3 linked regions of the Astyanax mexicanus genome follow. The main gene of each other region encodes a partner of the protein of the gene in region 2 in a complex. Links are inferred from orthologs where the notes say so. Each region holds a gene or a part of one and is shown on either strand. Other genes may lie near its edges.

The links.
Region 1: the proteins of orc4 (region 2) and orc5 are in contact, whole or in part, in a cryo-EM structure (PDB 7JPO), measured with the Homo sapiens proteins. The link is inferred for Astyanax mexicanus from reciprocal best matches to the Homo sapiens genes ORC4 and ORC5. Residues at the interface, in NP_001177808.1 of Homo sapiens: Ser18, Gln21, Arg22, Arg25, Glu26, Cys29, Arg30, Gln31, Arg69, Thr74, Asn100, Leu102, Leu103, Gln104, Ile105, Ile109, Glu113, Arg116, Asp162, Arg277, Met281, Met284, Leu285, Asn288, Met311, Asp312, Ser313, Lys314, Asn316, Ile317; in NP_002544.1 of Homo sapiens: Ile17, Ser20, Leu21, Phe22, Gly23, Glu24, His26, His27, Phe28, Ser29, Phe30, Pro31, Tyr36, Gly37, His38, Thr39, Thr98, Phe99, Asn100, Val103, Arg104, Arg131, Glu134, Asn136, Pro139, Gly140, Arg143, Gln145, Glu146, Leu147.
Region 3: the proteins of orc4 (region 2) and orc2 are in contact, whole or in part, in a cryo-EM structure (PDB 7JPP), measured with the Homo sapiens proteins. The link is inferred for Astyanax mexicanus from reciprocal best matches to the Homo sapiens genes ORC4 and ORC2. Residues at the interface, in NP_001177808.1 of Homo sapiens: Lys168, Asn169, Arg195, Glu200, Leu201, Lys204, Arg205; in NP_006181.1 of Homo sapiens: Asp501, Asp504, Tyr508, Ser512, Gln518, Glu522, Val554.

The regions. Positions count from the first base shown.
Region 1 is NC_064409.1:24,352,160-24,362,748, reverse strand, and holds the start of orc5 (origin recognition complex subunit 5), read right to left. Parts: upstream 4,276-10,589; 5' UTR 4,114-4,275; intron 2,616-4,113; 5' UTR 2,606-2,615; coding exon 2,492-2,605; intron 2,340-2,491; coding exon 2,247-2,339; intron 1,605-2,246; coding exon 1,419-1,604; intron 1,145-1,418; coding exon 1,070-1,144; intron 767-1,069; coding exon 655-766; intron 1-654. Other genes in the region: lhfpl3 (LHFPL tetraspan subfamily member 3 protein), read left to right, coding at 6,427-6,853. UniProt on the Homo sapiens protein: Component of the origin recognition complex (ORC) that binds origins of replication. DNA-binding is ATP-dependent. The specific DNA sequences that define origins of replication have not been identified yet.
Region 2 is NC_064412.1:33,930,736-33,941,146, forward strand, and holds the start of orc4 (origin recognition complex subunit 4), read left to right. Parts: upstream 1-5,622; 5' UTR 5,623-5,749; intron 5,750-7,321; 5' UTR 7,322-7,325; coding exon 7,326-7,382; intron 7,383-8,350; coding exon 8,351-8,427; intron 8,428-8,568; coding exon 8,569-8,659; intron 8,660-9,683; coding exon 9,684-9,759; intron 9,760-9,909; coding exon 9,910-9,995; intron 9,996-10,127; coding exon 10,128-10,176; intron 10,177-10,411. UniProt on the Homo sapiens protein: Component of the origin recognition complex (ORC) that binds origins of replication. DNA-binding is ATP-dependent. The specific DNA sequences that define origins of replication have not been identified yet.
Region 3 is NC_064423.1:30,252,125-30,262,026, forward strand, and holds the start of orc2 (origin recognition complex subunit 2), read right to left. Parts: upstream 4,183-9,902; 5' UTR 3,984-4,182; intron 2,989-3,983; 5' UTR 2,982-2,988; coding exon 2,885-2,981; intron 2,564-2,884; coding exon 2,408-2,563; intron 2,234-2,407; coding exon 2,147-2,233; intron 1,971-2,146; coding exon 1,878-1,970; intron 1,297-1,877; coding exon 1,265-1,296; intron 981-1,264; coding exon 923-980; intron 801-922; coding exon 619-800; intron 424-618; coding exon 325-423; intron 46-324; coding exon 1-45. UniProt on the Homo sapiens protein: Component of the origin recognition complex (ORC) that binds origins of replication. DNA-binding is ATP-dependent. The specific DNA sequences that define origins of replication have not been identified yet.

The sequences.
Region 1 (10,589 bases), on a different chromosome or scaffold from region 2:
ATAAGAAGTTTATAAGGTGAGCGTTTGCAAGTTAAAATATGAATAAGAATCTTTTTACAGACAAATTCTTGCCTCTCAACATCAGCTTGCCAATCAGCTTGTTGTTACCGCAGCAATAAGAGTGGTGGTAATATGGTGCTAGAAAGGCCCTAAAAGCCATAAAGAAAATAATTGTAGTTGGTGGAACGCCATGTTAGTCAATTGTGGAGCTTGAAAAGTGGCAACAGTAAGCCAGGAAACTGCACCACTTGCTGGCTAAAAGTGGAACTACGGTTTTAAGACAAGCAGATGTGGACGGAGTTCAATGTACCAGCAAAAAAAAAACAAAAAAAAAGAGACACACAAAAAAAAAAAAAAAAAAAACAACTGATGACATTATATATAAATACAACATACAACTTTAAACACTTTGGGATAATTTTGGGATGGTTGTAAAAAGAATTAGTCTTGAGCCCTGCCTGGATGATCCCCCCCAACCAGCACCCCAATAATATTAGACTCCATGAGGAGACTTGGAGATGTTTTAAAGAACAGTGACAGAAAAACACTAATAATAGGTATGTTACACTTACTGCCCAGCTAAGTAGCAGATTTATATTATAAATGACAAAGGAGATGAAAATAATTTGATGATAATATAAAATACTGCTGTACCTTTAGTATAATCAGGGAAGTGTAGCAGCAGAGGCTCGAAGCAGCCAGTGTTCGGCCGAAACTTATCCCACACGATCTCACTCAGCAGGATGACGGTCACATTATCATCCACCTGTCGGACACAACACAGGTCAACGTACTGCAAAAGAGCAATCTAAGCAAGTCTGGAAACAATCTTTAAATACTGTAATATTGATTAAAATTAATGCAACCCTGGATTGAAATCTTGTGACATGGCAGAAGCTTATCGAAACAATGCCACAGTGATGATGACATGAAGCAATCAAAGCTAAAGACGTGGTGATTTTTTTTTTTGGTGACGACTTATGTTAGTCAGGCAGTGTATTTATCATATTATATTTGCATTTAAATCGTCTGTGAAAAACTTAAAAATATAGTGGTTGTGGGCCGGTACCAGTTCCTGTAGACGTAGCAGTCCAGGCAGCAGGTTGGCTTCCATATCTCTGAGCAGCTCCGCTCTCTCCAGAACCTTTCAGAACATCACACGGCACACAATAATCCTTTATTAGATTATTATAACTCATTACAGAAACATGTTTAGTAATTAGGTTATGAACAAAAAAAGTGTGTTGATTTTAAGGGGTTTAAAAAAAGAGGTTTCACGTCCCAAAATTGTACTTTCTACAGTACTGATAAACCTGCATGTAATCATTACTGACCTACAAGAGGTCAATTCACGTTAAAAGTGTTTTTTCTGGAGTACAGTGTGTATTATATAGTGTGTGTAGGTCTGATTTACTCACAATGTACCGGGTCTGCTGGGCCGGTTTCTGAGCGCAGAACTGCCTGTAGATCCGAACGAAGTCTGAGAGAGAGGGAGAGCGAGGGAGCAGAGTGGCCGACTCGGAACCAAACATCGCTAACAGAACCTGCTCAAACAGCAGCCCTGCAGATACACACTCCACACAGCTCACCGCTGCATGAGGAACCTATACACACACAATTACACACATACAGTAATTTAACATTTAAAGAAAAAATCAGTTAAAGAAAAAATATTTTTGGCAGGGGAAACATTTTGGGGGATTTTTTTGCACTTTCCAAATACAAAGTCTTAGAATGTATGTATATAATATTAATTCATGTTTACATAGTAGGGGCATGCTGTATCGTATCACAGGCAATGATATTGCAAAAAAGATTGACACAATAAAAAAAATCCTTTTATTTAATCCTCTATTTTTTAAAACGCAGATCCGTTTTGTATTTGTTTTGCTATTTACTGAATTTACTCTTAACTGTATGTTTGCAGTTTATATATGCACTAAATATCTTGTCTAGTTTTGTGGTTATATTATTTTTGCTACATTTTTATTTTGTTACACTATTGTTAGTTTATTACTGTTTACAAAATAGAGAAACATTTCTATATATTTTTTGTTTTTACTGAAGGTATGAAACCGTTATATTTATACAAAAAATGTTTATTAATATATTCTTGAAATTTATATTTTTTTATTTCCGTGTTTTGTTGTTTTCCCTAGAATATAATCATCACATAAATACCACAAAATAACTTTTTCTTAAACATTTTTTAAACAGCTATATCAACCACCCCCACTGCACAGTACCTCCAGTTCTTTCAGCAGGGTGAGGATCACATGGCTCTTCCCCGTGGCTCGGTGGCCATAGATAAAGATGGAGGGGAAGCAGTACTGCTCCGGCTGTACATAGGGAAAAAATGGACAAATTCAAAGATGTTTTCATGACACTGAAACATAAACAGGTTTGAGAAACACTGAATGAATGTCTGATCTATGAAAGAGAAAGGATGATATCATAAAAGATGGGAAACTATAAAACAGATAAGACAAACCTCCCCCATTAGAGCCAGCAGCGTTCCTGCCTGTCCCTCTCTACAGGGAAGCCGTTCGCTCACAGAGCTTAGTTTGGCTTCAGGATAGCCGGGACACTGCAGTCCAGCCAGCATCCTCCTCAATCTGAGAGAGACAGAGTCAACATCAATCAACATGCAAAACTTATCCTTACACACAGCCCTAGTTCTAGACTGCTTTTCTGATAAGCCAGAGCTGATGATACTGGCTAAAATTGACGTATGATACTGGCTAAAATTTCATGTGTCTTCAACAGAAAACAACGCATTAAAGGGTTTCCTACAGTGTATATACAGCATATTTAACGAACATTTATAAAAAACAACATCTAGGGTCATATAGACTACAAAGGAACACATAAGGAAACTTACAATAAATGGAAAATGTTAAACAACCCACAATACTCTGTGACGCATTTAGGTATCTGGGGATGGTAACTCTGATAACCTTATCCTGTGTGCAACAGAGCTAACTCTTGGTCTTGCTTCTCTGAGACAACCCTGATAAGAGTCAGTTTCATCATAATGCTTTAATGGTCTTTGTGACTGCACTTGAGGATACTTTTAAAGTTCTTAAAATTGTTCAAATCAACTTACTTTTATTTCCTAAAGTCATTTTTTACTTAGTTGAGTAGTTCTTGCTATAATATGGATTAGAACATTACTCAAATACAGCTATTTACTGTATACCATTTCTACCTCTTCACAACTTTACAACTGATGCTCTCAAACACATTTAGAGGCAAGAAATTGTTATTAACTCTTGAAAAGGCACAGCTACTTTAAATAATCTATTCTGTTTCTTAACACTTTATTTGTTCACTATATAATTCCGTTAGCTTTTCCTTATAGTTTGGATGACTTTTGTATTATGTACAAACAACAAAAGTGAAGGAAACCAAAGAAAATACGACTTTTTATATATATATATATATATATATATATATATATATATATATATATATATTTTTTTTTTTTTTTTTTTTTTTTTGTGCATTAAACAACCTGAACTCACTGTTCAGCACAAACGTGTAAGTGGAAATTAATAAGAATAAATACTTGAATTATTAATTTTAAAAAATACAAAAGCAGTTTGTATTTACCTCTTATTGGGATAACGTTACCATAACACAGTGATTTATGCTATCCATATATTAGCTAGCTACATCTACTGGGACTTTACTGGTAATATGTTCTAATACGGTGTTTCTTTTGTATTTTTACAGTTAAATATACACTAGGGTAGCACGGTTTGTCAAGGTAGCACAACTCGACAGAACACCGGTCTGGGGCTGGAGGTTTCAGCAATAGGATGACAGTTTAAGAAGAGAATCATTTAAAACACGTATATTTTCTGTTAAATAAAGTAATTGATATAACTTATATACGTTCTGTTTATACACTACAACACCACCTATCTCCATCTAAAATCAGTAACATAAATATATGTGTGTGTATATTTAGTAATATTATGGGATAGAAGCTCGTGTTGTTGTATGTTGTGCTGGTATGAACAGCGCGGTTATTTAAGTTATATAGTTTAATAAAGTTCTGCTACACTTATAGCCTTTCTACAGATCAAAGAAAAAAAACAGATTACTTACTTTATAAACACTCAGCCAGAAACCCCAACACACACTCATTCACACAGGATCCACACGCTGCTTCACTTTCCCGCGAAGGTGACGTCACATCCGCAAGCTGGGAGTTGTAGTTTTTAGACGCGGAGATTTGTAGTAGCGAGTTTCAATCGCTTGTTTCTGTATATTTCTAAATAACAATGTATTTATTGTGAACACGTGTTTGAGTTGGCCTAGGTAAGGTCATTTTAATTCTACTGTAGTTTTCGATTTTTTAAATTAGCAAAAACTATAATTGAATTTCAAAATTAAAATATGTATATGATTAAATGGTTCAATTTAAACTACTTTACCCGAGTATTAAGAAGATTTTGGGTGTAAAACAGCACCTTAGCAACACCTATTCAACCACTTAGCAACACCAAATTGGCCACCTCTAATACCACAGCAACCACCTTGCAATTTTTTAACAAATCCCTAGGAACATTACAGCATCCACCTAGCAACATCATAAGAACCACTTAACCACACCTTAGCAACCACCTGGGATACAATAAAGGATGTTAGCTGTGCAGCCATCCTGCGCTCTATTTTCTTGTTTTATTTACTTTAAAAAACCCACAAGTGAACCTGCACTCGTTTAAAAAGGTTAATTACGGTAAAATTGTGGGAAATCAGAAGAAATAAACTTTTTTTGAGGGACTTCTTTGTCCCAGAACGACATGTATTTTTTGCTCATAAGAATGTCAACAACTTATTTGACTTTTAAAGACCCAATTTAGACAAAACAAGGATTGTAAAGGAACGCTTACTGGTTTGGAAATACAAATAACATTTAATCAATTATGAAACGTGTATAATCAAAAATGATTTGGTCTGTTATTTAATATAAATGCACACATTGGAATACAGACATTAACTTTGCTCTGAAAGACATATTTTATATATGTTGTTTCAAGGTGTAACGGAAGCAGTGTGTGTAAGTGTGAAGGGCGCAGTTAGAAGGGGCAGTGGGGAACATTCCTTTTTATCCCATGGTGCACCGCTGGCTCACTCTATGAGCTAGACTTGTGGTATATACCTGTAATGGATGTTTAAATGTTACAGTAGGCTACCTCCCATGAAGCTAGTTTACTTCAGTTTCAGTCACTCCGCCGGGTTTTTACACTGTTACACTGAAGTTAGTGTCACTCTCTGAGCACTTTATGTGCTGTAAGCGAACAGTACACCCTATAAATAAACGAACCTCCCTTCTTTCTGGTACATGCCACAATATTATTTAAAAATAATTATATTTTCGCTTATTTTCCACTATTTTTACGTGTCGGACCACTAATACAATAACTGATTTAAAAATTGCCCCACCGTGCTTTGTGTTCGCTAAATCAGTGCGCGGTGTTTCGCAATGGAACGCGACCATAATTTTAAGCGCACTACTTAGGGCACCGGGGGGCGTATTGGAACGCGCCCGAGCGTGCAGTTCTGACCTGCTGTGAGCGCTGTTGAGCTGCAACTGCTGCTGCTGCTGAGTGTGTGCGTGTGTGTATGTGTGTGTGTGCTGTATGCTCTCCCTGTCATCTCGGCGCGCGTGCTTCAGTGCTTCAGTCCAGGACACATTTTAGAGAGAGAGAGAGAGAGAGAGACAGAGAAACATAGAGGTGTATATATACAGACAGAGGTAGAGCGAGTTAGAGAGATAGACAGAGGGAGAGAGAGAGACGGTGTGTGTTTCTGACCAGAGATGGGCTCCAGAGGCTGCAGAAGCTCATCATCTTCTTCATTGCTGCAGCCTGGAAGATGCTATTTTTCACCACGTGAATAATGAATGGGGCACTCATGGCTGACCACTCTGCATTTTAATGCTGTTTTCAGGGATTCATCTGTCATTTTTGGCTGAGATGAGAGCAGGCTGCTGTGGGAGCGGTGGTGCTTTGCTGTTGAAGAATCTGTAGAGCAACAAGGATGCAGGTATGGACGTGGAAATTTGTATAATTGTGCCTGTATGTATGCATTTATCTGCTTATATCTGTTTATACATATAGTAAAAGAATGCATTTTATATTTATAGACTATGCTTCATTACAGGATTTCTGGACATGATATGAGATGTTTGAGGCATGATGGTGTGAATGAGAAAACAAACACCAACCCCTTGATTTATTTGCAACCGATAAGCAAAAAGAAGAAAGAAAACAACCCGAATCAAAATCAGTTAATGCACCGAATCATACTAGTGACACCTGATTATACCACAAGCTTCCACGACACGATTCCACCAAGTCTACCCCAGCTTCTGGTGCTGTGCAGCTCCAGCTCCACGAGGTCTGCATCCAGGCGATGGTCCCTGGAACACCAGCAGCCATGCTCCCCGCTTCAGAAGCCGCTAAAATCTACCAGACCAACTACGTGAGGAACTCCCGAGCCATTGGAGTTCTCTGGGCCATCTTCACCATTCTCTTCGCCATCGTCAACGTGGTCTGCTTCATCCAGCCCTACTGGATTGGCGACGGGGTGGACACCCCCCAGGCCGGCTACTTCGGCCTCTTCCACTACTGCATCGGAAACGGACTGTCACGAGACCTCAAGTGCTACGGCAGCTTCACCAACTTCAGCTCCATCCCTTCGGGTGCCTTCAAGGCTGCTTCCTTCTTCATCTGCACCTCTATGGTCCTGGTGCTCACCTGCATCGCCTGCTTCGCCCTCTTCTTCTTCTGCAGCACTGCCACCGTCTACAAGATCTGCGGGTGGATGCAGCTGGCGGCAGGTGAGCAGCAACGTTTAGTGGGTGATGGGGTTGTGCGGTTGTTAAGATTCAAGCAATATGGGACAAAGGTAGTCTGTCATAATCCACCATGGGGATTGCTGGTTCAAATCCTTGGCCATGCTCTCTCTGGGTGGGTACAACAGGTGGCGCTCTCTCCCCTTATCACTCCCATTGTGATGCTGGTTGGTACAGGCATCTGTCAGCTAATGTATCAGAGCTGGGTATCTGGCACTTTCCTTCACGTGCGCTGTGATGCTGCACATTGATTGGTGGCAGTTGGAAAAGAGGCGGAGACTGACTTCACACATATTGGATGAGGCATGCACTAGTCTTCACCCTCCTAGTGTTTGTAGCATTACTTATAGGAGTAGTTCTAATGAGAAGTTGGGGATGTTGGTCCTCCCAATTGGGGAGAAAACTGGGATGCAATTAGAAATAAAATGATATAGATATAAAAAAGATTAGAGCGATAGTTAGGCTATCCCCACATTAAGGTCTTGTGTCTAAAGTTTACTTATTTAGTTTGTATGGGACCCAGTAGGTTTATGTGGATTCACTTTATGAAGAATAACAGTCATAATTGCATTTTTTACTTAAGCATTTTGCAGCCTTAGTTCATCCGTTAGAGCTAAAGTATACCCATACCCATCTCATACTCATCCATATTCCTACCAATCCACACCCATCTATACCATACCCACTCATTTCTAAATGTTTGCATACCCATTCATATCCAAAATTACCCATACCCATAAATATATTCATACATTATCATCAACCCATCAATACCCATCCATACCAATCAGTAACATACTGGAACATTTACCCATACCCATAAATTCATATTTAACAGTACATACATACCATCCATCCATTTCCATGAATATTCATCTACATCCATCAACACTACAGTATACCCCTTCTTCCCCAACCACACCTATCTATTCATATTCACCTGCAGCCCCAACCATTATTATCCATATACACCCATTGCTATAGACTCCCATTCCCATCCATTTCAATCTATGACCATCTTTTTTATACCCACTCACCCATGCCCATTCATAACCATCCATAATTTCAGCTATGCGCACCCATATGTAAAAGTCAGATTTTGTGTGGTTTCTGCTTCTGAATTCTTTAGTAAATCTGATGTAGCTTAGCTCATTATTTCCAGAGCGGATTATAACCATATTTTCATTAGAGACACACCATTTATACATTTTTATGGTCATTCAGATTTTTTTTACAATATAATTCACTGCTGGACATTTTTATTAGCCTTATATTAATCTGAACCTCACACTCTGTGGCCACATTTTTAGCCCTTTGTTCTGTTGGCCAAATACTAATATAAAGTTAATATATATATATAATGAACCAATCTGGCCTTTTTATTCCCTAGAGAAAATATCAGAGATATCAACCTATTTTAATCACATTAATCAAATACATTGCTGAACTGAATTAGAGTTGACTGGTGTACTATCCATAACCATTCTTACATAACCAAATTCATACCCATCCACACCAATCCTTACCATAACATATATAACCATATTCTTATCCATCCTTACTAGGGGTGTCACGATTCTCTAAATCCTCGATTCGATTTCATTTTCGATTTGAGGGTCACGATTCGATTCGATTCTCGATTTTCTTGTTTTTTTTTTCTTGTTATTATTTTATGCCTCATAAAATTTAAATAATATATTTATTATTATTATTATTATTATTATTATTATTATTATTATTATTATAAATATTATTATTATTATTTATTAAGATATATATGGTAATGCCATCTAGTGACTTTTTTTGGTAGCAACAGTGTGCACTATTAAAACAAGCAGTTTATCAGAGCTGTGTGTGGATGGCTGGTGAAACTGCTCATTACATGAAGCTGCAGTTCTTCATCCAACCACTAGCAGCAGCAGCACAAGCCCCGCTCTCTTCACTCAGTCACTACTTCAGTACAGCCCAGCCACGGGCTACAGGGCTCAGCCAGTCCGTTTTTACTGTTTCTGTAAACAAATAAAGGTTTTAACCCCACTAACCGGATAATACAGCTCACTACAGTTCATCTTTCAGCCCAAGCAGCTAACAGCAGCAGGTTAGAACAGCCGACACGGAGTCACTGCTCGGATTACATTATAAACAGGTCAGTTAGCGCGCTGCTAACCTCAGGATGTTTATAACTACGGAGTTTAGTGGACACACCACGGCCGCCAGGTAAGTCTTTTAAAGGCTACTGAAGACTATTAAAGGCTATTAGAGTGTAACCCCTGGCTCCCAGGGGTTACAAGAGGTTATTGAAAGCATTATTGGGGGGCAGAAATCAGTACAGGCTGGTTAGATAAGTGATGTGGGTATTGTCTTATAAATATTTACACATAACTTATATCTCTCCTGAAAAGCTTTTATTTTAGTCAGAAACACGCTTGTGTTTACTTTATCTGAGAGAAAGATGTTTTTTTAATTCAATGGAAAGCAACAGGTGTAGTCAATTATAAGTTTAAGATTTTTAATCCACCTCACTGTGATCTATAGTCAGTGTTCTCAAGTCACACTGACACACGCATTTCAGCGAGTTCACACGCTCTCACCTGCGCGCACCCACCCCTCCGTTAGATACAGATACAAAACCTGCGCGCCCAACCCCCGCCTCCCCTCCCCCGTTGGACAGATAAAAACAGTGATCACACTCCCGCCGACTGCGCTCATGCAGTGGCTATCTCTATTTAAATGAATAGGATGCGCTGTGTTGGTGCCGCGCCATTTGCGTAGCGCGCGCGGGAGGGATCGTCGATCCTCTTTTTGACTTCGATACTCGAGATCGTGACCTCATTTCGATTCGATTTCGATAAAATATCGAGATCGTGACACCCCTAATCCTTACCAATCCTTACCATAACATGTATAACCATACACATACCCACCTTACCATAACATCTATAACCCCACCCATATCCATCCTTACCAATCCTTACCATAATATATATAACCATCTTAACCAAATCCATCTTTATAAACCCTTACCATAACATCTATAACCATATCAATAGCGATTCTTACCATATTTAGAACCATTCCTATACCCATCTGCCTTCATCCATACATATACAAATCTATGCTCTTCCACATTCATCAGTACCAACTATACAGTTCCATCTTATGTTCCATTTTATTTTGAATCAGACCAGCCCAATTCTGATCTTGGCCAATCTTAAAAAAACCTTCTGTGCTAAAGTATTTAATTCCATTTTTGATCATTTTTATTGGCTTATTCATCAGAAAATTTAGACATAATTTCAAGCATGCCTGCCAGATTTACAATATGCTTAGATTGCTCAATATGTCTAGAGAAGCAAATTATTTGTCACAATAACTAATTAATTGCAATATGATAAAATATTGTCATATCATACAGCTCTAATGCAATGTACACTACCAGTTAAGTTTGGGTTTGGACAAACGCAGTGTTTTTTTATTTTTTTATTTTAAAATGTTCTGAATTGCAGATGAATACAAAAGTCATCCAAACTAGAAAGACAAATATATTAAATTATTTAGTAAACAAAAAAGTGATAAACAAACCAGAACATGTTTTTTATTCAGATTCTTTAAAGTAGGAACCTCTTGTTTAGATGATAGCTTTGCAAAATTTTCTTATTCAGCTTTATGAGGTAGAATAATCTGGAATAGCTTTTAGTAACAGCTGTGCTGAATTTGTTAA
Region 2 (10,411 bases):
AGTGATTTTGGCACATAAAACGCCACAACCCAACAAGTTACTTTACTGGATGCTGTTGACTGGCTTCTCCTTCAATTACTAACAAGAGCAACAGGGTCTAGAAACCAAACTGCACTTCATGACCTTACTGACAGCTAGATAGAAGCAGAGGAACAGTTTGATATACTGTCAAATTAAAAATATGCATTTAGTCTAGACTGGCTTTCACCGTATTGGTTTTATGGAGTATCCTCTTCTAAATTGTGAGTATAAATGTATTCTGATGGGGTGATGGAAGCTTAAAAACAAACATTGGCTGGCCTAAACTACACCACAGCTATTAGCTAGCTCAAATTTGGTGACTTACAAACATTCTTTGATGGACTGTTACCTCTTAATCTAACCAATACTGTGATATTACACATAAAGGCGGAAGACTACTTTGTTGGCTGTTGTTGACTGACTTCTGAATGAAATACTAGCATCAGCAACAGTCTACAAACCAAACTGCACTTCATGACCTCACTGACAGCTAGAAGAAATCACAAGAACAGTTTGATATGCTGAGTATCTTCTTCTTCTAAATTGGGAGTATACATGTAATCTGATGTAGTAAGGGATGCCTAAATGCAAACACTGTCTTAACTGCTCCACAGCTCTTAAAGATAAAATCTGGTTCAGATATTAATAAAACGTGATTTAGAAACATGCTTAGGTGGAGAGTTACCTCCTAATCTAACCAAGACTGTTTTTGGCTGTTGTTGACTGACTTCTCCATTAAATAATAGCATTGGCAAAAAAGCACACAACCAAACTGCACTTCATGATCTCACTGACAGCTAGAAGAAATATTTTGATAATTTGATATACTGTCAAATCGAAAAATAATATTTAGATTAAACTGGCATTCTCAGAACTCGTTTAAAACAGTGTTTTCTACATTTGATCATACATGATTTCTAATTGGATTATGGAACCCTAAAAGCAAAGTCTGTGTGGCCACTGGTCTTGAATAAATGAATGGACTGGTCCAGATATTAAATCAAGTGATTCACAAATGTGCATAGATGAAGTGTTGTCTCCTAATCTAACCAAGACCAAGTATTTTTTACATAAAAGCCACAAACTAACAGGCTACTTTCTACCACATACTGACAGCAGCAACAGGGCCTACAAACCAAACTGCACTTCATCTATACACCTTGGTGACAGCTTTAATAGACTGTCAATTTAAAACTAGATAGTTTTTAGTATTCGTATTATTTTACAGAATATCTCCTTCTAAAATGGGAGTATACATACATGTACTCTGACAGGATTAAGGAAGCCATGGCTACGTACTGCATCACAGACAAAATCTGGTCCAGATATAGATAAAGTGATTGTTTGAGTGTTACCTTTTAATCTAACCTAGACAGCTAATATTGTTCTTTTTTAAAGACAGGATCACAGAAAAACAGTCCACTTTGATTAGCTGGCTAGGTGAAGTGATCTGGCAGGCTGTTGTTGACTGGCTTCAATAAATACTAGCTAGTGAACAAGCTGTATCGTTCCTAGCTAGCCAGCTTTCCCCCCTCATAAACCATACGCTGATACCTACAAAATATAACCTAGATAAGAGATAGCTATGTTATGTAGTTAGTGTAACCGTGTAATAGCTAGATGCCCTAAAACAGTCGCAGATACTCTGAGCTAAGAGTGGCTTGGGTATTCGCAGCTGACAGCAGGGCTTAAAATTGTAAAATTAATAATAATTAGGTTAAAAAAACAAACCCAATTCAGGCAATCAGCTAACCATAGTTAGCTGGCAGACTAGTATAAAGCCTATGAGCTTAGTTAGCTTCTTAGCTAGCTTTCAACTACTACACTGGCCCAGCTGCTATCTGGTTAGGTTTGCTAACGCTAAAGCTTTCAGGTTAGCTAGGCTGTGCTAGCTGAGCTAACATGACCATAGGGGAATAAATACAAGCACCAGAAAAAAAGTACACCAGGCTTCGCTTTCGGGGCCGTTTAACACGACGGAGGGTGAAACAGGGGTCTAGCTGGATGTGACAATAATGTGGGGAAAACAAGAAGAAAGTCAGCTGGATGTAGGTTGGAGAAAGAAGTCGACACCGACAGCAGCAGCAGCTACAACAAATAAGGCGAAGTGCTGCTGCTACGGCTACGGCTGCTGTGGATAGCTAACGCTAACTAGCTAGCTAGCCCAGCTTACTGGCTGGCTAACGTTCATTATGCTAGCCTAGGTAGCTATCTTAGCTAACTGCTAGCTGGGTGGCCTGACCCATGAGAGAGAGAGGAACGAAGAGAGAGAAGGAGAGAGAGAGAGAGACAGAAGGGGGAAATAATACATACACAGTTAAGCTACATATTGGGCAACATTAAATATAACAAAAATAACTTTAAACATATACGTACCTTGTTATTCCGCTTAACGCCGCGAAAACAGCCAAGTTAGTGTAAATACGTGTCTACGAGGCTGGTTCAAAGTATCCAGAGAAACGTCTCAAAAGCAGAGAGGCCAAGCGGAGGAGGAGGAGGCAGGGGGAGCGAGCTAACAGCTAACTAGCTAGCTAATGCTAGCGAAAGGGGGGTAGGTAGCTAACAGCTAGCCAGTGTAGTGAGAGCAGAAGAAACGGAGAGACGAGAGGAGAGATAGGGTAGAGAGAGAGATAGAGGAGAAGAGGAGGAGGAGGAGAGGCTCTCAGATCCCTCTCCCCGGATTTTCTATCTCCTAACAGCCGTCCAGCGCATCGCTGCCGTCGGTTTGAAGTCCCCGAGAGGTCGACGGCGATGGAAAAGTCCGTTTTTAAGGCTCGTCTCAAATCGACTCTGTCCCTTTAAAAAGAGAAATAAAAAAGCTGCCCCATCCGCTGCCTCTGCTCTGCTGCCTCTCTCCGGGCTGCCTGCTCGGGGTTAGAAGATGGAGCTCGGCCCCGCTGCGCCCCCATCAGGACGCTCAGACAGCTGCTACAGGACCACAATGCACCGGGCCCCTCTCTTCTCACACACAAACACACGCGCATACACACACGCACACAAACACGCATACGCACACACGCATACGCACACACGTATACACACCAGCAGAGCAGGAGGGCTGGAGGAGGTGGATGGGTGGATGGCTGGTGTGTGGAGCGTGGAGCAACAGGGACACGTTTTTTTTTCTGATTTGTGTATATTGTATACTATTCACAAGGGCTAGACAATATGGCCAAAATCTGTATCACATTATATGTGATATACTGTCTCAAGAATGATTGCAATAAATGATAATAGTGTTATTTTAGGAGCCTTTTTAATTTTTTTAAATGTTTTAATTACATTTTTATAATAATGTTAAATAATACCACCACCACCACCACCACCACCACCACCACCAACAACAACAACAACAACAACAACAACAACAACAACAACAACAACAACAACAACAACAACAACAACAACAATAATATTAATATTAATATTTATTATTATTTTTAATAATATTTATATTATTGTTATTATTACTATTAATAGCATAATAATGAAGTTACACCATTTAAAAGATCAGTGAACTTTTAATCAATAAGAATTTGAGAAAATCCTAAATAATGGGTGATATATATATATATATATATATATATATATATATATATATATATATAGTCACAGTAATTATTGCAATAAACAATAATAATTTTATTTTGACACTTTCATAATATAATAATAATAATAATAATAATCATCATAATAATAATAATAATAATAATAATAATTTAACACTTTCAAAATGTAACAATTTAGTAGCATAATAATTAAGTTACACCCTTTTTAAGACCAAATAACTTTTATTCATTAAGAATTTTGAGACATCATTAAAAAAAACTAAATAATGGATGATATATTGCCCCAGAATTATTACAATAAATGATAATGTTATTTTAAGATTTTAAGAGCCTTATTTTGACATATTAATTTGCTCTACTTCCTAAGAAAAAGCATAATGTACAATATCACAGGTCAGCAAAAATTACTGATGTTATTTTCATATATTATACAATAATCTGATAATGTAGTTATTGTGTTAGGCCGAAATCTGATATCAAAAGGGACTTTATGAATCCCCATGGCCTTAATGAAATAGCATAGACAGACAGAACTGAGAGCTGGGTCCATAAGCAAAATGTGGGCTTGTGTGCATTATGCCTTTCCGAATAGGCCTTTTTTTATTCATACAGAGATATTGTGGAGAAAAGCTGGTAATTTCCTTATGTTTTGTATTTATAATAATAATTCACAGAAGTACATTTAAAAAGTCTGCATTATATCTACCCATAATCTCAACAAATTGTTTATTTTGTACATTTATTTTATAAATGTTGTTTTTCAGATTTTTGTGAAAATATCTATCTAGCTAAATGTTTTTCCAATAAAGCTAATTACAGCGTGGATATAAAGATGTTATTTTTGTTTTTAACTATGATGTCTCATTTAACTATGATGTCTGGCTTTAACTATGATGTCTGCACAAATTAAAATTTGGTAATGTCCCTTGACATCCATTTTTTATAGTATTTCTTGCTGAATTAGATTTATTTATGGCGTCTCTAAATTGTCTTAGCAACAAAAAAGCTGTATCCACTATAAATTATTAAAGGAGTTTAATTTGTTATTTTATAATATTTTAAATATTTTGTTTAGTTTGATGTATGACTGTTTGTTATAATTTATCTTGCATGTCCTTGTTATATTTTGTTGTTTTTGGAAATTAAACCCTTAACGGGCCTTGCCGCCTTGGCCCATTTACAAGCTACAAGTGTAGGTGATACCAAATCCTTTTTTCTGCAATTAAATTAGTTATTTACATTCTGAAAACAGTGAGGGCTACACAGACTCCTACAGGAGACTTGGGCAAGTTGTCTGTTCAATCTCTACTCCACTTAATAATCTCAAATAAGTAACAGGAATCAACCCCAAATGCTTTGACATAAAACTAGTCAACCACACCAAACAAAAGGTTGAAGGACATGAAATGTTTAATTTGCTCAGGAAAACGCCAATTATATATATACTTGCAGATTTACACATTTTAAAAATATTTTTATTAAAATTACAACTAGGGTTTTCAGTAACGTTTTCATGAAACCTTTTTATGTACTCTTTAAATAGAAATCCTCAAAATAGAGGCGTGCAATATTAATCAGAGAATTAACAAAAATATTAAGAACATGTGGTTTCATCCATGATTTTCTGTTATTTACTATGGTTTTATTGACCCTAAGCAGATCATAGATCAGCACTCTAGCACTATACTGAAAAGTTTAAAAATGTGACCTGATTTTTTAATCCACCAGTCCTAAATATCAACATGTTGAGCTAGGGACATGTACACAGGTTAATTAATTATGCATTCCCAAAAATAGGAAAACATACATCCTTAAACAGGAATTTACAATATTTATTTGGAGATATAGTTAATAGTTAATAAGATTTATATTAATATAATATTATTCAGGAAAAAACAACAAACATTGAGACGGTGATATTTATAGTTAAACATGAAATATTAACATTAGTTATTATTAATAATATATATTGTTATTAAATACAGGTAATATTAGAAATATATTAATATCTAGTGTAACCCGGAAACCCATCTGTATTCTGCAGCTCCGGTTCCGCCTGCTGTTTGCAGAACTGGCGCGAAATCGGTTCTGTTGTGATCCGCGGAGATTTATTTTTCTCTATTTTAAGTCTTTTTACGGTTAAAGGCTGTCAGAAACAGGTAAGTAGAGCTTTAGGGTCGCTGTTATTCTCTTTTAGTAGTTCGGCGGTGAGTGCGAGGCTGCTGTCGAAGCTAAACATTTGCTTCACTGTTCGCTTTGTCGAACTCTCTGGTCCACCTTAAATGATCCAGCAGTTTCCTATGGGCGCACGTGTTGGCTCCAGAGTGTAACCAACGCAGCAGTTAAGGTGGAACAGAGAGTTCGACATTTCGAGAGATCGAAGAGCAAGCAGCTGTATTCTGCTTTTAAGTGGTGGGTAACCCAGGTCCAGAAAGATAAATCCATCCCAGGGTTATGTACTAACTGGCTGGGCGGCTCTGCTGCAGCTGAACTATACACAGAGCCTTCCAGGTAGTCCGTTTAAAACCCTGGGCCAGTTGTTCAAAAAATGTAATCCGGATCAAAATTATCCAGATTTGGTAATCACATTTTTTGCTATCCAGGATCAGGTGATCTGTCTTACTTTTAAGTCAGTTTTTCAAAGCAATATTGGATTGGATCAACCTGATCCAGAAACACAGTTTTCAGGATTACCTAATCCGGATTACCAGCTATGTAAAAAACAGATAGAAGAACCAACAGGGGTTGATGACTCCTTTTCTTGCAGTAACAAGATACTGCTTATTGCAAAACAATACGAGCAATTGAGCATTCTGCAGAGACGCTTTGCATGCCTTAACTATTTGCGAGTCGAACCACAGGGAGCATGCAACATAACACTTGCATGTATTGTCCTGCCCAATGTTGCTACCAGACGCAATGTCCCTCTCTGTGATGTTCATGATGCACCTGAGCCTGTTGAAGAACCAGAACAAACTCTGGTGTTCTTTTCAATTGTTCGAAATTATTTTTGACAGCTTCATATCTGATAAATGTTTCTTTGACATTAATATACAGTGATGAATGACAGTGACGTAGATGAAAAAATGAATATATTATTTTTGTTTGTTATTGAAATCTTTTGGGGGGTTTATTTAATGGGGTCAAGATTGTTTTTATTTTTACGTTACTATAGTAAAAGGCTTAATTGGTAGCCAATGTCTACTTTATTACTGTAACGGTTAAACAGGTCAAGTGCAAAATAGAAGTAAATGTATATACACTAAATTGTACAAATGTATTTTTTTTTTACTTTAAAACTTTGATTTTAAAGTTTTACCACATTTACTTCCTGAAATCCCCCTTGAAATCCTACCCCTTGTTGGGATCAGGGTAATCCTGTTTTTTTGGATCAAAGTTATCCAAATCCTACTGAAAAGTTTTGAACAACAGAAACTGAAGGTTTGATCCATTTACAAACTAGGATTGGATTACGTGATCTGATCCGATTTCAGAATGCTTCTTTCCCTTTTGAACAACCCGTTTTCCAGATTTGATCCAATCCGATAACCAAAATCCGATCAGATTTCCTCTGAACAACTGGCCCCCTGGGATGGATTTTTACTTTCTGGACTTGGGTTACCAACCTCTAATATCGACAGCAGTTTTACAGATAGTCGTATAAAATCTTATTTTACCAGGTTTATCGTCCCCTAACGTGCAGCTTTAACTTGTCTTTCTTTCTTTTCCAGAATCATGAGCAAGCGTAAGTCGAAAGACGCCAGTTTGCCTGTTGGTGAATGCGTATCTCAGGTTAGTCCAGCCAAGATGACTAGTTAAAAAATGTATTGTTTTTTTTTTTGCTTTAATATCAGTGTTTTGTCGAGTTGTGCTACCTTGTCAAACGGTGCTACTAGTAGTATTTATTTTTTGAAAAGGTAAAAATACAGCAGAAGCCTATGTAGGATATGTGGATAGGCTAAATCACTGTATCAGAAAAAGTTAAGGTCATACGTGACTAGACACCATATATCTTTAAAAGAGTTTTATAGTTAATAAAAAAATAACTTTAGGTTGCTGTTTTGTAACTGCTATTTACAGATAGAAGAAAATTAATCATAATAAAACATATTTAGGGATGTCCCCAGGGAACGAGTAGATCACATAATTTTCTAAGGATCAGAATCAGGTGGAAAAGATCCAGATCACTGATGTATCATATTTCTATGAGCAGATGTACCTTTAAGGCAGCGTGAGTGGCAGTGACCTGAAATCTCTTAATTTAAATATTTTATTTACATTGAAATACTCATTATTTAACAAATAAGGAAATCTGGAAGGCCAAATGTTTACATATTCATGCACTGTTTAATATTTGAACTGTTTGGAACTATCCTGAGCTTGTTAATGGTATAAAAATAGAGATTTACTTGCATGGACAAAGCTATGCCCCATATTGCTAGCATTGTAAGCCTGTTGGGAGCATCAGTTAACAGCGCTAACTGATGGGGATGAATGAAGGTGGGCTATTCAACAAACGTTTGTACGCATTACCATGTTTCACTACAACCCAGGTCCATTTCAAAGCGATTGTCTCCTGTAATGCATAGTGCAGTGATTTTTATAAATTGATGTGCATTATCCAATTATACAGGATTACAGAACTTATAGATTTCTACCTGATATTCAATTAGATGCTGCATAAGTGTTTTAAATGTATCTTAACATGTCCTATGCTGTTTGTTTCAAGTGACACATACATGGCTTTTTACTTATTACAGGTCCAAAGAATAATGAGGGAGCGATTTTGTCACCAGAAGCTTCCTGACAAACCTTATGGATTGGACTCGCAGTACAAGTGGGTTGTTTATGTGTTAAATTTAATAAATAAAATTGTGTTTGTAAGCTGTCATTAACAGAAGATGTGAGTGTGATCTTTTCTTTGTTTGCGTGTTGTATAAGTAAGAAGTTTTTGTGTGTGTCTTTTGGGGGTATTTAGGCACCTACTGGAGCTGTTGAGAAGAACAGCAGTTCATGGTGAAAGTAACTCCGTTCTCATCGTGGGCCCACGTGGAGCTGGTAAAACCATGGTACAATTCAAATTCAGGCTTTTCACTTCATCTTGGTTCATATAGGTGGCTGCTTCTGTTACTGTACAAACACAGCATGGGCACTATAATGGGGTAAAAGAAAATATTGGTGTTTTAAAATATTGTCGTGTTTTTGTAATTCTATATTGATTCTTTAAGTGCTCAATAAATTGCATGCAAATTTTGGTGGCAGGCACTAGTCATATTGTGTATAGTGCTTCCTACTATTCTGATTGCATAACAAGTAAACATTTCTTTAACTTATTGTTTTGTGTTTGGCCAAAAACAATTAGTTACTCTGATTTTGCTATTTATAGGTATATGTTTGAGTAAAATGAACATTGTTGTTTTATTCTATAAATTATTGTAACATTTTTCTGAAATTCCGAATACAAATATTGTCAATTAGAGCATTTATTTGCAGAAAATGAGAAATGGTTGAAATAAGAAAAAGGCTGCAGAGCGTTTAGATCTCAAATAATGCAAAGAAAACAAGTTTATATTTACAAAGCTTAAGAGTTCAGAAATCAATATTTGGTGGAATAACCCTGGTTTTTAATCACAGTTTTCATGCATCTTGGCATGTTCTCCACCTGTCTTACTCACTGCTTTTGGATAACTTTATGACGCTCCTTGTGCAAAACTTCAAGCAGTTTAGCTTGATGGCTTGTGATCAATCTTCCTCTTGATTATATTATAGAGGTTTTAAAATTGGTAAAATCAGAAACTCATCATTTTTAAGTGGTCATCATTCTAAAGTTATTTTTTCTCCAGAGCTGTATATTGTGAGGCTCACCACAATTGATAAACAACATTGTGGAGGGAAAAATCTTTTGGTAAACTTTGTAGTTAGCTCACATCACTCCTGTGGAAACTCACTTTGGATGTGTGATGATGTTGCACCCATCTCAATTCTGATATATTGAATTGCATATTGATCAGGAGAATTGTTTTATTTTCTCATCCAGTTTTTGTTTAGTGTAGTAATGGGTTTCTGAGTGTTTCTCTTTGTGTGTCTGTGTAGCTTCTGCGCTGTGCTCTGAGAGAGCTGCTGGAACTGCAGGAGGTGAAGAAGAATGTTCTCCAGGTTCACCTGAGTGGTGAGTGTTGGTGCACGCACATAACTGCTCCATGGTTTTGAGTTATATAACGTGTATATATATATATATATATATATATATATATATATATATATATATATATACGTTGCTCCTGTATTCGTTCTGTTGACAGTGGTGTCTCTCCTGCAGGCCTGCTGCAGACTGATGACCGGATCGCTCTAAAAGAAATTACCCGCCAGCTCCACCTGGAGAACGTCGTAGGAGACAAAGTCTTTGTGAGTCTGCATGCGTGAACCACAGCAGAGCCAAATATTACAGTAGCTTGGATCTGAGCTTGGCACGTTTTGCTTCTAATATTTTTAGTGTAGTGGAGGGAAACCACCATCTAATGCTGCTTTGTTTTGCAGGGCAGCTTTGCTGAGAACCTGGTATTTCTTCTGGAGGCTCTTAAGAAGGGTTAGTACCACTTATCCAGCTTATTGTTTTAATAGAATTCTAATTTAATAAATGAATCACCACCATATACTTATAGCACTCTTATACATAACAAAATGAAAGGGAAAATGGCACACCTGTATACCCCAGCATGTAATGGGTGAGGCAACCTATCTTTCATGAAATATAATGTGGCTGCCAGCTTGAAATCCACCATATTTTGTTTCTGAAATAAAAGGTGACCCGCCACTTTTGA
Region 3 (9,902 bases), on a different chromosome or scaffold from region 2:
CACATAACAGGAGGGCTTTCCATCCAACAATCTGAGCAGAGTTTCCTGCAACACACCATGAAAAACATCTGTAATGATTCATTTATTATTCTGCCTAAACCCTAAAGACAGCTTCAAACAGGGTTTTATTTTATAGAGTAGACATTTGTGGTTATCTGGATGATGTTAGACCAATGTTTCAAATATTAAATTCAAATGAACATTAGAAAAGCTTCATCTGGAGCTTGAGTTTAGGTTCACTTCATGATTTCACTTATCTAACTGACTGACTATTAAACAAAGACCCCTAGCTGTAATAAATACAGACACAGGGCGAGGACTGACCCGATCTAGTTTAGGAGTCTGCAGCTTCTGAAGAGTCCGGTCTGATGTCAGAACCTTGGAGCTACTGTGGGCTTCAAAATATTCCTCCACCAGGTTGGGCTGAAAAGAGGGAGATTGGCATACGTAAAAGGCTCATCCATATTCATACATACCTTATCAGTATTGCTGAAACATATCCTACAAGGAAACTAGACTTAACACTCAAATGTGATGACTTAGAACAGCTAAAATGTGACATTATAAACTAGTTACAGCTAAACTAGTTATATATTCCTTTAAAAAATGTAATCCCACCTCTGGTGCTTTCTTGCTCTTCTTCGCAGGGGTCTTGTAAAGAGCAGCAGCAGCTCCAGATGACTTGCTGGGGGTTTTGGGCTGAGCTTCAGCTTTTTCCCCCTTTTCTTCCTCTTCATCCTCTTCATCCTCCGAGTTCGAGGGGGAGAAATCACTGTCACTGTCTGACTTTAGGTTGGGAGCTGAATAATCATAAATAAAATATATATAAACCAAAAACATCAACAACAACAAATATTATTTATAAAAATATTAAAAGAAAAAAGAAATTTGACTAATAGTAATTTGAACTTTAATAACAAACCTGATATTCTCTTTCTCAGTCTGTGAGGAGTCGTGGAGACAAACTGTACTTTCTTTCCCTAGAGAGGAAAAATAAAAATAAAAAGAGTGAAATTAAATTCTTTAGAATAAAAGTGATCTATCCAGTGCTATTGAGACGAGCTGGGGATGAGGTGAGATGAACAGCCGTTCAACATCCTGACCTCACTTCTCACACTCTTTTTTACTCAATACAACCAATCAAATGCTTAAACAATGTTTTAAAATCTTGTAAAAAGCTTAAAAGTTTAAACTGTTTATTACTCTTGATTTCAGAAGAAACTCACAAACACAGTCATTCTCATATATGAAGGTTCCAATTTACCTTTTGAGGAGTTTTGTTTTGACTGGCAACTTCTGTAGTGGGAAGAATAAACAGTAGGATTATTATACATTATAAGCCTATGATGGATGGATTGTTTGAATGAATGTATAGACATGTACCACACTTTCTTATTCAATGTATTTCATTATTTATTTATTTTGTACATTGTTGATTAATATTAAAGACATGAAAACACATATGGGATTACGTAATAAAAAAAAAATTTAAAAAAAGAAAAAGTGTTTGTCCTCCACAATCCCCTGACCTGTTCAACTGAGATGGTGATTTAAGGTGATTTGGAATGAGCTGAGCTTCACAGTGTGAAGAAAAAAAAGCTTAAAATACCAAGATTAAAAAAAGATTAAAATATCAAGAGTGTGCAGATCTGTCCAAAAGCTAAATGTGCTACTTTAAAGAATTTTCATTATTAAACATATTCTGCTTTTTGTTTTCAGTATAATTCTGAATGTGACCTTAGCTTTCATATTGTCTTTAATATTACCTTTACAATGTAAAAACAAAAAGCATATAAAAACACTAAATGAGAAGAGCTCTGTCCAAACGTCTGACTGGTACTGTAAACAGATAGATAAATAATGATATGATTACTAACTCTGGCTTGCCCGGGTTGGGCTGGCTGCCTCCTCTGGACTCCCAGGGGTACGAAATGTGACACTTTTGCCAGGAGTGCGTGCCCACTCTGAAGCTAAATTGAGAGAGATAAAAAGAGAAATGTATAGCGAGGTATAGTGTACAACATTTACAAGCATCTTAAAATCATCAGACTAATAATTTAACTCTAGCTTAATTTACTTTAAAATATGTAAAAAAAAAATAAATAAAAAAAATCTGACACAAAATCAAAATCTTTTATTAACTCACCCATCTGAGCCATTTTATTGGAGCGTTTGATGGTCTGGAAGGTGAACACTGAGGCTCCTGCTGTGGCCGACCCATTCTCATCTCCAGCTGTGTAACAGGATACACAAACAAAACAGCAACAATGTTTAAACACAGTATGGAAACATCACCGATATTACAGCCAAAAAATGACTTTTTCAATCAGTTTAAAGTTCTTTAATAATATTGAGAATTGTTCAGTGTTCTCTTGGCAATTTTTGTTTGTGTGACAAAAAATTCTACCTTCTGCTCCATAACCAAGCGACTCCACATAGTTTTGCTTGTTAAAAACTCCCTCCTCTTCTTCCTCTTCCTCCCCTTCTGCAGAGTCTGTCGTTTTCTTTCTGAGACTCTTCAGGCTCACTAGAGTTTGTGCAGAACTTCTGAGTGCTCTAGACCCTAAAATACAATTAGAATAGAGAGAGTAAAAACCTGAACCAAAACGTTTCAAGCCATATACACAACAGGACCAGATACTTGAATCTCCAGAAATGTAGTGCATCATTATCAATCCATTTACATTTTTCTAATAGAGTTGCTTATTTATTCTCAAGAACAATTGGACAACTGGTCACGATCATTACCACCCAATGCACTGTGCTGTCCACTGTGGGCAGTAATGCCTTTTATGATGTATACCCAGTACACACGACAATGTCCATTAAGAAATAGAATGGGATTTAACACCCAGAAAACAGAGATGTGTGTCAATCTCAGCACCTTCATGTTTCTCGACAATGTGGTCTAGCACATCTTCATCTCCTACGAATTGGACTTCCAAAACTCCAGGACCTGCAGTGCGTTTCTGTGGACTCATTTTGGACCTGAGAGAGAGAGAGAGAAAAAAAGTCAAAATGTTTTTTGGTGGATGAGATACACAAGAAATTATTATTTTTTAAACCAATAACAAGCTCAAAGTCAACTGACAAGCAAAAACAAGTAGGTAGATGCATGGAAATGCATGAATTCCAGTTGTTGCTGAAAATCTCTCTTTAATATTCATTCATTCATTTACACAGAATTTATTTTGCAATCTGTTTACCTATTCTACCTATTCGTTCGTGCTCTTCAGTCGACTTATGACTTAATTTCAAGAACTAGCTAAAAGGTACTGTGTGCATAAACACTGTCTTTTTATATAAACTACCTGTGCACTTTCAAAATTCTCAGAGCCTTGTTTTAAATGTCAGGACACTTGGAATTCTACCAATGATATGTGTGGGCTACTTTGAGCTTTTAAATGGAGTAAAAATAGTTTTTTCTTTCCATTAGCAATTCTATGCCCTTATCGCTACCATTGTGAGACTGTTGGGAGCACTGGATAAAAGCCCTGTATTTTGGAATGCTGGGGGAGATTGGAGGTCGGCACTTTGACAAAAGTGTGAACTTGTCATCATGTTTCACTACAACACAAACCATTTTACACTGGAGTTCCCTTTAAATAAATAACCTGAATAAATGAAAAGAGTGTGAGTTTTAGTTCTGTTTCAGTAAAAGTACAAAAAAACTGACTCATCAAGTAAAAAGTACTTTGAGCAATATTATTTTCAGGAACAGGTTCAGCTAAAAGTTTTAATTGTCCAGTACTTAAGAACATTCACAATAAATAACTTTTATAAGTTTTGTACAAGTAGCAATATAAGTTTTATAAGTTTTATTCACATTCAAATAACACTTTACCAAGAGTACATTAAATTTGACTCAAGTCCATCAGGTCTGTGCAGCTCTAAACCTAAATCTCCACTCTCTTCTGCAGGAGTTTAGTGGAGCAGAAACAGAACTGCTGCTACAGAACCGGCTGCACTGCGGCCAAACTCACCCCGAAAACAGCAGAACTTCCTCCAGAAGCAGCGGGTTTAAGACCCCTCCGCGCGCTGTTTCTCCGCTGAGAACAGTCTGTATTAATATTCCCTCAGAAAAAGCGCTTTACATTAAACTGCACCACATTTTACAGCCCCGCAGCCCCGCAGCGACTCCTTAACCCGCTCCGATTCCGCGCCACCACAAAAATATTCACACCACGTGGGCGGAAGTGCCGTGACGCCACAGCCTGCAGCCCAGGGCTGTGTCTCATTCAGTCCCATTCACCAGCTGTCCTCTATCCTGTGCACTACTACACTACTTAGTGCACTTTTACACTATGTAGTGCACTATTATACTATGTAGTGCACTATTAGACTATGAGGGGACTTTTATACTATGTATCCGAAATTGTGCTTTTAGCCTACCGAAAGCATATATATATATATATATATATTAGTAGAACTTTATCAATTATCAAGTACTATAATATATTAAAATGGCAAATCATTTCACAATAAAACTTAATTCTGGTATGCTTTTATATATCTTAAAATAATGACATAGTATCTCATAATAATGACGCAGTATCTCAAAATAATCTTGTAGCATATAATAATATCTCATTATTTTTGGGGTACATATTTTTGGGATACTTCACTATCTATGAAACTATGTAGTTCACTAGTATACTATGTAGTGCACTAATGCACTGTATGGTTCACTTTTACACTATGTAATGCACTAGTACACTAGGCAGTGCACTATTACTCTATGCAGTGCACTTTTATAATATGTAGTGCACTATTATACTATGCAGTGCACATTTATACTTTGTATCATCTTAAAATATTTGTCATTGTTTTGAGATACTATCTCATTATTTAGAGATATTATTGGGTTTATTTTTATGAAATACTATGTGGTTATTTTGAGATACTAAGTCACTATTTTAAGATAGTATGTCCTTATTTTGGGATACTTTCTTCTTTTTTGAGATACTAAGAAATTATGTAGATTCTCTCATTGTTTTGAGATGCTATCACTTTATTTTTTTAAGATCTATGAAATCATACCAGAATTAAATTTTATTGTGAAATTATTTGCTTTACTAATATATAAAAGTATTTGATAATTGATACAGTTCTACTGAAACAATATTTCACTTGCAAAAGCAAATTTCAAATATGTCTGGGTAAAATGTCCATGCTAACAGACCAACGACTCTAGTTGTCATATCAGTAAACAGTTTTTTCACAAGTACAGAAATTCAGTTTTCTGTATACAGAAAACACTTTAAATGCAGGATGAATCTCAGAAAGATGGGATAGGATTGGAAGTATCAATGTTCAGCAGCCCATCCATCTCTACCACACTGCAAGGACAATTTTCTAAGCAGCCACTGTGCTCAATTTTTGAATCTGTAACAGGATAGGGGTCTGTAAGTTTGGCCTACACTGTGGAAATTATAGGAATCTAACTGTCTGGCTGCTCCATGGCTTATCAATACAGAGCAGAGCCGAGATTTGCCACTCAGGCCTGTGCCGCACTCCTCCTCAGTCCTCCGTAAAATGTCATGCGATAATGGCCTGAACATTTTCAATCAGACCAACACATGGAGCTTTGTCTGCAAATGTCACTGACCAGAACCGAAAGATCAAATTCAGCCGTTCCAGAATGAAAGCACTTTAAAAAGCAAAGCGGCGAGAAAAGGAAACTTTATCACAGCCTTGACTGCTTGAAAGGAAGTAGTGTTGCTGTCTGAGACTGTGCATTTATATGGTGACTAAAGGAGCTGGTATAGAATACTCTCTTCAAAGCTTTAGATATTGTGCAGACCGTGGCTAGAAACTGAGTAAATGCAGCCTGGAGAGCACAGGCAGTAGGGGCAGCGGGGCACAGTGCTTCCTATCCCATTGTGCACTGCTGGCTCAAACTATGAGTTAGACTTGTGGGTATAACTGTAATTACTGTTCAGAATGTGAAAAGAGTGTTTAGTTGTTGACTGTTACACCCTATTGTAATGTTTACACCAAGCTCTGGTAATTTTAGGAAAGGTTTTTCTAACCTACTCTGATTGCTGTTTGCAAGCAGTAAGTTGTTAATAAAGAGCTTCCTTAAGGCCAAGTAATGCTGCCTGTTTGGATTCCTTCTCATGTACGCCACAAAATCTTCATAAATAATTTTTTTTAAAGTAACAATTGGAAAAAGGGTTGCACCAAAAAGACTGCAAGTCAGATTGCAATTACAAATTGCAAATACAATTCAGTGGGAAGATATGGGTAATATATCTTGGCTTGGAATTGTAGAGGTTCCTAATGGTGTCCAATCCATTCCATGCAGCTCAAATATTCACACCAATCCAACAGATTTTGCGGTAGATAGAACCACAGATAGAAGACAGATAGAACTTTGTGTTAGAATGATTTACTGAGACCCAAATAGATAGAAGTGCTAATCAATTTTATAATACTACTGCCTTTACCACTGATGATGAGAGTTGATGTCAAAGAATAGATGGAATTCAGAGATTCTGACATCCTGCTTTAAATAGAACAGTTTTTACTAAGAGATTAACAAAAAACAGTCATGTAAATAAGATTGATCAAATTTCATTCATGTTTAGCAAGCTTGTCCAAAAGCAGGCACTGTTAGTACTTTTGGTGCTTTGTATTAATGACACTGTGTGTCCTTGTTATTGTGGATTTAGGTTAAAATAACATTGTATAAATTGACTGTGTTAAGGAATTAATATTTCTTACATAATATTTTCAAATTATCCAAATCTTAAGGCTTTCAGATAGTCTAAAATTGCAGGAGCTGGAACCAAAATACATTTTCTCATCAGTTCTACTTAAGCCTTCAGTTTAGTTTTCCTTTGTTGTGCTTAATTTCTTTATTTTCTGTTTGTTCAGCTCCTGGCCTGCTTTGCTGTTGCTTTTGGTTTGATCCTAAACCAAAAAAAGATCTCTTAAAATGGATTTTTTGGCTGATAAATGCTGGATTTGGCATCTGTCTATATATCTATTGGGAATGCAACACCTTCCTTTCAAGCCATAACGTTCTGGGAAAGGATCATTGAATAAGAAACACCATTGTGGGCTCTCTGAATGTGGGCTTTGTTTTTATGCCACCAACGGCTGTAACTCTCCAGCGAGAATTGAACCTATGACCCTCTGCTCATAGGTCCAGCCGCAGCCCATACTGTTTGCTCCAGGCACTCCTTATGAACAGTAAGGAATCATCTGTTTTTCGAGAGGGTCCAGTTACGCACCGGCTGAGAGCAGATGGCTCTTTCAGACTCTGTCTGGAGCGTTTCCAGATACATGCCGCCACCAGCAGAGCGCAGAGCACCCCATGAGCTCATTTCAACACTGTGCTGCACTGAGCTGCATTTGAAACAGCTACAAACTCATCGCCAGTCAAATCAAAGACTCATGGAGATAAAACATGAGGATACTAATACAGCAGAATTAATTAAGGTCAAAATGCCTTAATGACTATATTTCTTAGCAATGGCATAGAAAAATCACCTCAGGTTCTCTAAGTGAGATTACACACTGGTCAGTGTGCTCATGGCAAGGAGACATTTATTAAGTTTGAGGGGGGCATGATGGTAGTGCCAGATGGATGGAAAATCCCATTTCCCAAAGCTGCATGGGCATTTATCATTCCTCTAGCCTCGGTGTCCTGTGAGCACTGGTGAATCATAGAGGAAATTACCACCCACAGTGGACAGGGCAGTGAGAGGCAATGATCGTAACTGGTGATGTCTGGTTAGAATTGTCCTTCACTTAAATAGAAGACTCAGAAATTTCATACACATTCAATGAGGAAAGTCCCACACACTTATCCCACAGGTCACTGCCATGTTTTTAGCTTTATGGGACATGACAAAAGTCATGGCACACAACACTAGATAAAATGATGTGGCATTTCAGTGTATATTCTTTAAACCTAAATAAGGTTCTTAACACATTTACGTTGCACACTAACAAAAATGACTCTCTAAAGCTGGGGTTCTCAAACAAATGCCCCCAGATTAATTTATCCTTCTATGCAAACTGCAAAATGCAGAGACATTTAAAAATGTGGACCATCTAGGAGTTTCTGATGACAAGATTTGAGAAGCACTGTTCCAAAGAATCATGTTTAAAAAAAACTACTCAATGCAACAAATGTAAACCATTTTAACCATATAAACCATCTATTGGGCATTTATGTTTTATAAACCTTAGTAAGGTTCTGTCACATCAGCCCACTTACGAGAAAGGTTTTGTAAAGCAGGGTTCCTCAAACAGCTTGACAATCCACTAGAGGGCAGCAGCAGAGCACTGCAGCTCCAGCAATTGAAGGTGGCATGTAAAAGCTCCTACAGACTGAAAGCTTGCCAAATATCACCTTTAGCTGTATTATGAATGGCCAGTTTTATGCCACGCTTTCAGTGGATCCTTAGAATTACAGACAAAAGTCATGGGATAGCAGTGGACAGCACAGTCCAGCAGCATCTGGCTAGACCAGTCAATGCGACTCGTGAAGTGACTTTGGCAGAAGAGCTCCACAAGCATAAAGTCAGTCTTTTTCTGTAAGAAGTAACAGGACATAATACTAGTTATTGTCCTCTGACTTTTGTCATGTTAGTGAATGCTAGTAATATGCATGAATAGCATATTACTGACTGATATTGTTTTGAGCACAATAATAAAGACAGCAAACAGGCCGCTCTCTTTTAAAGTGAAAATTCATATTTTATTGGTACATACATTAATTTAGTCAAGGGCAGAAACTAAGAAAAAAAATAGATATATCAAAGAGGGGGTGTCTACGGGGTTAGAAGGGGGACAGATCACCATTTAGTTTCAATTACAAGTGCAGGGCTGGCAGAAATCTCACAATTTGCATGGAAATGAATTAAAACTGGGCAGGGTATCAATTTAGAAAAATTAAGGAAAAAAAAAAATACAAAAATGTCCAATGAATTTAATGACAAGATTGACTATCCCTCGCAATATGGCGAATGAAATAAGGTCCATACAAGTTCAGGACGTGCCTGGGCCAACATGCACTTAACGAAATAACCAGCCTGTATGTGACAGAATGACCCAAAGACGGAGACAATGGATCAATAAATCACATCGGCTAATACACAGAGTGGAGTGATGCTATCTAATTCGCTCGTACAGGCCTTGAAATCCCCATTTTAACACATAACGACCCATGTGATAAGGTTGCTGCTTTGGCTGGCCTTACTCAGACCAAGAATGGACAGATCAATCCGGTGTGACTGTGCCCTTTCTTTTAAATCAATCAATTGTACACAGGTTCATAAAATTAAGGGAAATTGGATTGGGTAAAGAGGAGGCGGGGCTGGGGGTGGGCTGGGACAGGTTTTATGTGTTTCATCTTTTCACTTTTTTTTCTTTTTTCTTTTTTTTACACATCAGATCAGAATGGCTTTAGGTAATGCTAGGGAAGAATACATTTCCATACAGTTATACAGAACTTTTGCTACTACCTTAAATATACAAGCACAAGTACACAAAAGGAAATAAAAGCCCACACTAAATTACTCTCTTCTGTTTTTAAAAATAATACAAACCAATATAATTTGAGGGTTGAGATTTTAAGGACCTCCTTGAAAGTCCTCTTAGCTCCTTGGTCTGTAGCTTTCAATGTCGGTAAAAAAAATCAAATAAAAACATTCTAGGGAAATAGAGGCTGGTATAAAATGCAGATAAAATTTTTCCAAAATGCTTCGTTTTAAATGCTCTCCACCTAACCCTTTAAAACTATGACCATTTTCGGGCTGTTCTACAGCATTGTGGTGGTGGTGGTGATGTATTGGGTTTAATGTGTTGCGGCAACAGTCCAAATCTTCCATTAATGGCAGGGAAAGACCTGAATGGAAGTATGCCTTCTCCTGCTCCAGCTCCAGTAT